Linked DNA regions of Coturnix japonica. The protein of the gene in region 1 binds, or shares a complex with, the protein of each later gene. Links are inferred from orthologs where the notes say so. Each region holds a gene or a part of one and is shown on either strand. Other genes may lie near its edges.

Evidence for each region. Proteins that work in one complex are often made in the same cells at the same time.
Region 2: the proteins of MAPKAP1 (region 1) and MLST8 are in contact, whole or in part, in a cryo-EM structure (PDB 7PE8), measured with the Homo sapiens proteins. The link is inferred for Coturnix japonica from reciprocal best matches to the Homo sapiens genes MAPKAP1 and MLST8. Residues at the interface, in NP_001006618.1 of Homo sapiens: Lys102, Cys103, Lys104, Asn105, Ile106, Gln107, Trp108, Lys109, Arg111, Asn112, Ser113, Lys121, Leu123, Phe124, Glu125, Lys126, Lys127, Ser128, Leu129, Gly137, Lys138, Gln139, Ser140, Ile141, Leu142, Val144, Arg145, Leu146; in NP_001186102.1 of Homo sapiens: Ala29, His30, Pro77, Ile78, Ile79, Ser80, Tyr81, Asp82, Gly83, Arg98, Arg110, Ile111, Trp112, Gln120, Cys121, Gln122, Arg123, Ile124, Asn139, Gln140, Ala141, Leu157, Lys158, Ile203, Glu206, Ser279, Gly280, Asp281, Gln283, Asp322.

Annotation. Positions count from the first base shown.
Region 1 is NC_029532.1:8,128,706-8,132,314, reverse strand, and holds the end of MAPKAP1 (target of rapamycin complex 2 subunit MAPKAP1), read left to right. Parts: intron 1-863; coding exon 864-961; intron 962-2,428; coding exon 2,429-2,554; 3' UTR 2,555-3,027; downstream 3,028-3,609. UniProt on the Homo sapiens protein: Component of the mechanistic target of rapamycin complex 2 (mTORC2), which transduces signals from growth factors to pathways involved in proliferation, cytoskeletal organization, lipogenesis and anabolic output.
Region 2 is NC_029529.1:6,429,774-6,434,209, forward strand, and holds the start of MLST8 (target of rapamycin complex subunit LST8), read left to right. Parts: upstream 1-1,459; coding exon 1,460-1,588; intron 1,589-1,730; coding exon 1,731-1,782; intron 1,783-1,849; coding exon 1,850-2,012; intron 2,013-2,090; coding exon 2,091-2,166; intron 2,167-3,586; coding exon 3,587-3,739; intron 3,740-3,909; coding exon 3,910-4,034; intron 4,035-4,219; coding exon 4,220-4,383; intron 4,384-4,436. Other genes in the region: hexosaminidase D-like, read right to left, coding at 1,344-1,461.

The DNA.
Region 1 (3,609 bases):
AAAGCTATGGTCTCCATTAATTTTTGCATTAATCTCTCACTCCATGGCTCCATGTCCCACCTCCTCCTGGTGATGTGTGGTTGAGGAGTGGGCGGTCAGCACATCACCCATCGTCTGCAGCACACCTGAGCAGCACCACATACCCAGCCTGCTCACAGCACCACACATTCAGCCCTGCAGCTGCTCTGGCACCACTGCCCGTAGCAGCCTCAGCTCCATCACGTTGGGGTCAGCAGTCACTACCACCCTCTGCTGGGGTCTGAGCAGTGGGGAAGGTTACCACCAGGGCACTGCACAGATAAAAACTGCAGTTCTGAGTTAGTTGTTCTGCTTGTTGTTAGATTGTTCTGCTTGCAGGTGTCTGGTTTCCTGGTACCATTGCTACATACCTTTGCATTTTATGGTGACGTTTTCCTTTGCCTTAGCAACAGAGTAAGTTTGGGTGTTATTTTGGGGAGGGGATTTTATGATAATCCTGAGATTAATTGGCCTTTTATCTTAAATATAACACTTCTACATGTGGTAATTGCACCATGAATCTAGGTGAGTTGCTGCAGCACGGTGCTGCAAGTGCTCCGGCCGTGGGCTGGCTGTGAGCTAACTCACCGTCTGATAGATCTTTGCATTTCCTGCAGCAGGGTTGTGATGGGAAAATGAACTTTATTGGAAGAGTTCAGCTGCTCCTGTAAGCCACCACTTGCCTTAAATTGAAATGACATGAGAAGCCTGTCAGCATTTCATTGCTCCCTTCTGTTGTGCTGATGGTATGCTAAGATCACCATCTGTGTTTTGCTTCTGTCAGGCACACGGCTCCGCAGAAAACTTTAGAGAAATATTCTGAACCTTTTTTCTTATCTTTGCAGGTCATGCAATATTTAAACTTACATATCTAAGCAATCACGACTACAAACACCTGTACTTTGAATCAGATGCTGCTACTGTCAATGAAATTGTACTGAAGGTGAGTTTTAAATTTTAACGTGACCCAAAATTCTGAGTGTTGTGCCACTTGTTAGACATGGGAATCTTCAGGAGGATCTGAAATACAGGCACGGCATAGCACCTGTGGAGCACTTGGGTGCTTCAGCTCCCAGTTGGCTGCTCCTCTCCCAGGTTGGGTTTTAGTCAGGAACTGACACTGCTGGGCCATGGGGCACACGTGGAGCACACAGGGTTACAGGTGTTGGTGTCGGTGTGGCTCAAGCAGAGCAGAGCTGGGTTGGGGCAGTGCTGAGTGCCACAGAAGGACTGCTTTTTCTCTGGGTGCTTGCCCAGAATTGCCTGCTTTTCCCACAGCTCTCTGATGTACATATTGGTCTAATTCCTGAAACAAATCAGAAGATTAGACTTAATTTTCTGCGATCTAATATCTTATATCAATTCAAAATCAAAAGAATAGTCATTTTAGGAATCCAGCCATTATGTTTGCTTTGCTGTGTGAAGTCCAAAGGACTGCTGAACGACTGACCCACTGCAGTGCTGTTGTTGGCAGCCAAGTGCGTGCTGCCTTCTTCCTTGGCTCTCAGTCCAACAAGGCAACCTCTTCTGCTCCCACTTCATCTGCGGAGTCCCCAGAGCACTTGGCAGAGCCATACTGCTCACACAGGGCTGGAGAAAGTTTTGCTCTGAGTAATGAGAATATTCAGGGGAAAAACGTTACCAAACAGTACTTTTTGTCTTACCTTGCAGATTGTTTATGCAAAACTCTTCCTGGTTTTGTGTGTAAGTTACCAGTTTATTTTCAGTTCCGTCAGCATTAAGAGATGTAGAGGAATCAGACTTTTCAAATTAGGCTTTTTACATGATCAAGTGCAAGACACTGAGGCTTTATTGACCATGAAAACTCCCTATATTTCTACGCCTTAAGCCGTAATATGCAATGAAAGTGAAACACTCTACAGTGCATAAAATCGTGCAAGTTTTAAGCCACAGCATATTAACCAGCTAATGGTGGACCAAAGGGCATTTTTATCTTTTTGATTCTTGCATTAACCTTCCATTAAAATTATCTATGTGATTATCACAAAGCACTGGAGACAATAAATTTAGGGAATAGCAGCCTTGTTAAATATCATTTAAAAATGCTTTCATCAAGTAAAATGTGCCAAAACACGGGGAAACTCTAAGATTAGCTGAGTATGCAAACATCATAATGGAGGTATTATTTTTATTAAAGCTGATAAAATATTTTATTGAAGTCCATTACCACACCAGAGCAGCACAGCGGCCGCAGGACATGCTGCGTTGGGGGACAAAGCTGCTCAGCCCCTCCGGTCCGTGGGGACAGGGGCAGAGCGGGGGATGGCCCACATGGAGGGCTGCTTCTGCCATGGTTTTGCCCTTTTCCTGTTGCCCTGTTGAGTGTCCATGCCCTCCCAGGGCTGCACACTGAAGCACCAGTGCAGTGAAATCTTTTTGTGTCTTGCAGGTTAACTATATTCTGGAATCACGAGCGAGTACAGCCAGAGCAGAATATTTTGCTCAGAAACAAAGAAAACTGAACAGGAGAACAAGCTTTAGCTTCCAGAAGGAGAAGAAGTCAGGACAGCAGTAGCACCGGGCCTCGAATAGAGCCTGACCGCCGTGTTCAGAGCGGGGGCTGCCAGTGGCCGGGGCAGAGCGGCGCTGCTCCACTGCTGAGGGCAGGAGCGGCCGGGAGGACATCGGCACAACCCCATCTCTCACGGCTGCAAGGTGATCCCTCCTTGGTGAGGGAGGTCTCCCCTGTGACACAAATAAAGAGCCATATCAGCCGGAAAGAAGACTGTTACGCTTCAGGTTCCTTTGATTAGAAATAAGAGAATGACGTAGACTGGCATCATTTAATTACTGTATTATGTACAATCACAAGAAGAGATGTGATTACATATTATTTCACAGCCTGGTTAAAATAAATTATATACATCTGTAATACACCCACGTACACGCAGGTATTGCTTGTGACATGATCAAATTTCTAAAAACAAAATGTAGGACAAATGTATCCATTTTTACTATTAATAAACAGATGTAATCTTTTTCAAGGTCCATCTGATGCACAGTTCTTTTGGGGGGAGGCTGCAGTCCCAGATGGTTACGCTTCTGTTGCTGACATGCAGGAGGCAACTGTGAGCCAGGAGCAGCAGCCATCACAGAGCGACTGGTGGGGGAGCGCTGAGGCAGCTCAGGTCTTTTTTTGCTTCATTCTTTTCAAAACAGGTTCCTGTAACTGCTCCTCAGCTTTGCACTCCCTCCTTGGAAGGTGCTTCTTGCAGCCCAAGGAGAGCGCGGCCCAGTGCTGAGGCCACAGCTGGCACCTGGTGCTGGAGATGCCCCTCCTCCTTACTGTTCTTCTCTAGGAATAGAAACAGAGACCTGCTTTGTACTGGGACTTGTAACTGTGCTGGCCTTGTCTGTGTTTAGCATATCAGGGAACACGTGAATGGGATTTCAGGGAACCAGAGCTGCATTTTGGTTCCACTCACCAGAGGTGTCTTTCACAAATCTCTAAGCTGCTGTTGCTGGAGCCTTGTGCTAAGGCCGTGGGTTTGTACCGAGCTGCACCCCCAGCCCTGCGAGCTGCTCAGAGCCTGGCCAGCAGTGTGAGCTGTGTGGGAACGTGGAGCTGTG
Region 2 (4,436 bases), on another chromosome or scaffold:
GCCCAGCGCCGCGGGCTCTGAATTAGCCCTATTCTAGATGCAACCCTAATCCCTGCCGACACCTCCTGCACAGCACAGCGCAGGGCAGCGCTGCACCCGGACCCAGCGTGTCCCGTAGGGCAGCACGGGGCCCTGGCACAGGGCAGAGCAGGGCAGCAACGTGCGGGTGTGTGCTGAGCATCCACGGCCATGGCCGCGGGTTGCGCCCTGTGCTCGTGTGATGCGCCTCGTGTGCGGCGTGGATGCGCTTTGTGATGCTCCTGGTGCCTGCAGGGGACAACGGCGGCCCTTGCTCTGTGCCATCCCATCCCTGCAGCATTTCCATCCCGCCCGGCGATGGATGTGTCAGCCCTCGTGGGAGGAGCTGTGCGGGTGCGGGAGGGTATGGGGCTCTGAGAGCGGTATGGGGAGCTCAGCACCCCCTGGCCGCAGGAAGGCCGTTCATAGACAGAGCGCTAATTGCACTGCCATGGCAACACAGCGCCTGATCAGAGCGGGGATAAATATTTGGACAGACGCTGTCAGCTCGCCAAGACCGGGCGTTTTTAATATCCGTTATCTAACTCGAATAGAGCGCAGGTTGCCCGGATCAGACCCTGCCGGTGCCGGGCTGCAGCACCGATGGCAGCAGCGGCTCCCTCCCATGGCTGAGCGCATCTCGGGGCCGTGTCCCGCTCCCCCGCAGCGCCCGGCCCCGTTCCCCTCTTACCTCCCGGAGCCGCTCAGCGCAATGCCCGGCCGTCCCGCCGCCGTTGCCATGCGGAGCCCACGCTGCCGCAGCGCGGCGGTGCGTGCGGGGGCGGCCGCGTGGAGCCCAGCCCACACCCCCGCTCCCGGAGCATCCCCGCGATTCAGCCCCGGTACCGCCGCGCCCGGTCGGTCCCGCTCCCCCGGGACAGGGACGCACCGGCCGCCCCAGGGAACGGCTGCGCCTCCCGGTGCGGTACCGCATGGCGGCCCCGGTACTAAAGGACAGCCCCAGCCCCCGGAGCGCCCCTTACCGGCAGGTGCGGTACCGGGCGGGCACCCCCCGGGCGCGGGTACGAGCACTGCCCCACGGCCGCCACCGCCGCTCTTAAAGGGCCCGACAGCAGCGCTGCACCGGCACGGCGGGACTCTGCTGCGAGCTGGCTCAGTGCCCTGCCGGCCCTGGGACGTGTGTGCCCTATTTGTGCCCTATTTGTGCCCTATTTGTGCCCTATTTGTGCCCCGTGTGCCCGCACCCCGTGTCCCGGTACCCGCACCCCACACCCCCATCAATCCCCAGCCCCCTGCCCCGCTCCGCTCGGTGCGGCCGTTCCCATCACAGCGCCCCCTGGCGGCGATGTCGGGATGTGACTCACTCAGCGCTGACAGCGCCCCGCAGTCCCGCCTCACCGCCGCTGCTCTCTGCGCATGCTCCTTTGACATCACCGACCCGCTTGCGCAGAGCCCGTACCGGCTCCGCGGTGCCGCCGCCATGAACGCGGCTCAGGGCACGGTGGGCAGCGACCCCGTTATCTTGGCCACGGCCGGGTACGACCACACGGTGCGATTCTGGCAGGCGCACAGCGGCATCTGCACCCGCACCGTGCAGCACCAGGACTCCGTATCCTGCACCGGGACCGGCGTGAGGGGGGAGGCCCCGGTGTAACGGGGGGGGGGGGTCCCAGCTTAAGGGGGGGGCCCGGTGTAGGTGGTGGGGTCTCGGTGTGGTCTCGGTGTCATACAGCCCTTAGCACTGCTGGCAGCAGGTGAACGCCCTGGAGATCACTCCTGACCGCAGCATGATCGCAGCCGCAGGTGAGCCCCGGGGTGTTTGGGGTCGCTGGGTGCCCCTGGTATTTCTGAGCTCCATTCGCTGCCATAGGGTATCAACACATCCGTATGTACGACCTCAACTCCAACAACCCCAACCCCGTCATCAATTACGATGGTGTGAGCAAGAACATCACGTCCGTGGGCTTCCACGAGGATGGGCGCTGGATGTATACGGGTGGGGAGGACTGCATGGCACGGATATGGGACCTCAGGTGAGCGCGGGGTCTGCTGCAGGGAGAACATTCCTCCGCAGGCTCGTGTGGGCTCATTCGGTCTCTTTTTTGTTGCAGGTCTCGTAACCTGCAGTGCCAGCGGATCTTCCAAGTCAATGCTCCCATTAACTGTGTCTGCCTGCACCCCAACCAGGTACACTGATTGTCACTGGCCTTCCTGGAAAAGGTGATGCTCCCTCAAATGCTTGGCAGTCTGGAGCATTGCTCAGCCCATGGTCTTGGTTGCATGGACCCCTCGGCTCTTGGTGGCTTTGCAGCTGCACGTCCATGTATTCCCTTGCAGAGCAGCTGCTGCATGACCAGGCTTGGTGCAGGCAGAGTGTGGCCCTGCCCCTGCCTTTGCTGCTTCTTGTCAGGGAACAAACATCCTCAAGCAGGGCTGGCAGCCAGCAGATGTCTCTGGCTTCTGTCTTGCTCATACTGCACCTGCAGCAAGCATCAGCATCCATGCTGGAACCATCAGGTTTTTGCTGAGCATCTTTGTGCTAGTTACCTGCTGGCTGTTGGACACAAGCAGTGCTACCAGTAGAAAAAAGCAGAGGCCAACAGCCCCAGTAAGGTCTGTGGTGTCTTCAGGGTTTGCTGGAGATCCACCACTCAGTTCAAAAGCTGTCAGAGAGGTCACTTGGGTTAAAGAAATGGAGCTAATGGGGATGATGGGGATGCATTAGTGGGCATGGTGGTGAAATCGATGCGTATCATTGCAGTGTTAATAACGCATCTGATCCATTCTTTATCCATGGTGCTGCAGGGTGGGAGCTGCAGACAAAGCAGCATAAGGTTGGTTTTTTCTCAAAGCAAATCTTTTAAAAAATATGAATAATAGAAATGTTTCTTTGCTTTTGATTTCTGTAAAAACTCAGTATTACAAATACTGAGTTCTGGACTAAATGTGAGATTGGTCATTTGGAACTGACTTCAGCCAAATGTTGCTGCTGCTGCACCATGAGACTCAGAATGTGTTGCATTAAAACAAATACTGTGCATAAATCATGTGTGTGAGATAATCACTTTGTGTTACTGTAGAAGCAATGGCTTGTGAGCAGGACAGTTAGTTAGCCCAGAGGTGGCAGTATTTAATCAGATAGATCCACAGTATGGACAGGGTGAAGCTGCTTATTCTCAGAGAGGGATTTCTCATGGCCTGGGTAAAGCCACGGCTGTGTTAGAATTGTATTTGCAGATGCTGCTAAGAGTGGGCTAGGAGGTGTCCAGGAGATGCCTCTGCACTACACAGTCAGCTAAATATATCAAGGGATGATTGTCTTCTCCTGAAGCAAGCCGTGGGTCACAGGTACAGGATTAGCTGCATCTGATGACCTGATCTCCTCTAGGGATTCTGCTAAAATTATGGACAGTGTAAGTCTGTCGATAAAAAGCCGTGGTTTTAATGGAGTGCTGCCAGCATTGTCTGCTGCTTTGAGCAGCAGGGATTGGAGCCAGAGCTGCTGCCCTTCAGCTGGCTCCTGTCCTTACCCTCCTGGAGCAGGAGAGACAGAGAAAAACCCACTTAGGCTTGTGTTCTTCAGGTACCTGTCACTATTTTCTTGCAGGCTGAGCTAATTGTGGGTGACCAGAGCGGGGCCATTCACATCTGGGACCTGAAAACAGACCACAATGAGCAGCTGATTCCAGAGCCTGAAGTCTCCGTGAACTCTGTGCACATTGACCCTGATGCCAGCTACATGGCAGCTGTCAACAGCTCGGTGAGCTTGGGCATGAGATGGGATTTGCAGTGCTGGGTTGTCCTTGTGGGGCAAAAGCAGCCAGTTTCTATGCACTATAGAGTTTTGCTGTGCTATGATGGGACACAGAGTCTAGGCTGCTTTTGGCTGAGGTCCACAGAGCCAGTCATAGACGTCCCATCTCCTTGCAGGGAAACTGCTACGTGTGGAACCTGACGGGTGGCATTGGAGAGGAGGTAACCCAGCTGATCCCCAAGACCAAGATCCCAGCACACAACCGTTATGCCCTGCAATGCAAGTTCAGCCCTGACTCCACGTGAGTGTGCTCCTCCACCAGATCAGTTCAGCTTGAATCTTGTAAGGCAGATGATATGGGGTAAAGAAATCTGATTACTAAATACGCAGGGCTTCAGTTCATTATTGTGCCAGGCCTGCATTAATGAGGCCTTTACATGTACAGCATAACTAATAAGATTACCTATGCGTGTGTTATCCTTGCAGGCTCTTGGCTACCTGTTCTGCAGATCAGACATGTAAGATCTGGAGGACTTCAAACTTCTCTCTGATGACAGAGCTGAGCATTAAGAGCAATAACCCAGGGGAAACCTCTCGTGGCTGGATGTGGGACTGTGCCTTCTCTGGAGACTCGCAGTACATTGTCACAGGTGAGACCCTGTTTGCCTGCCTGTCTGCAGGCTGGTGGGGCAGTGCTGGGTGC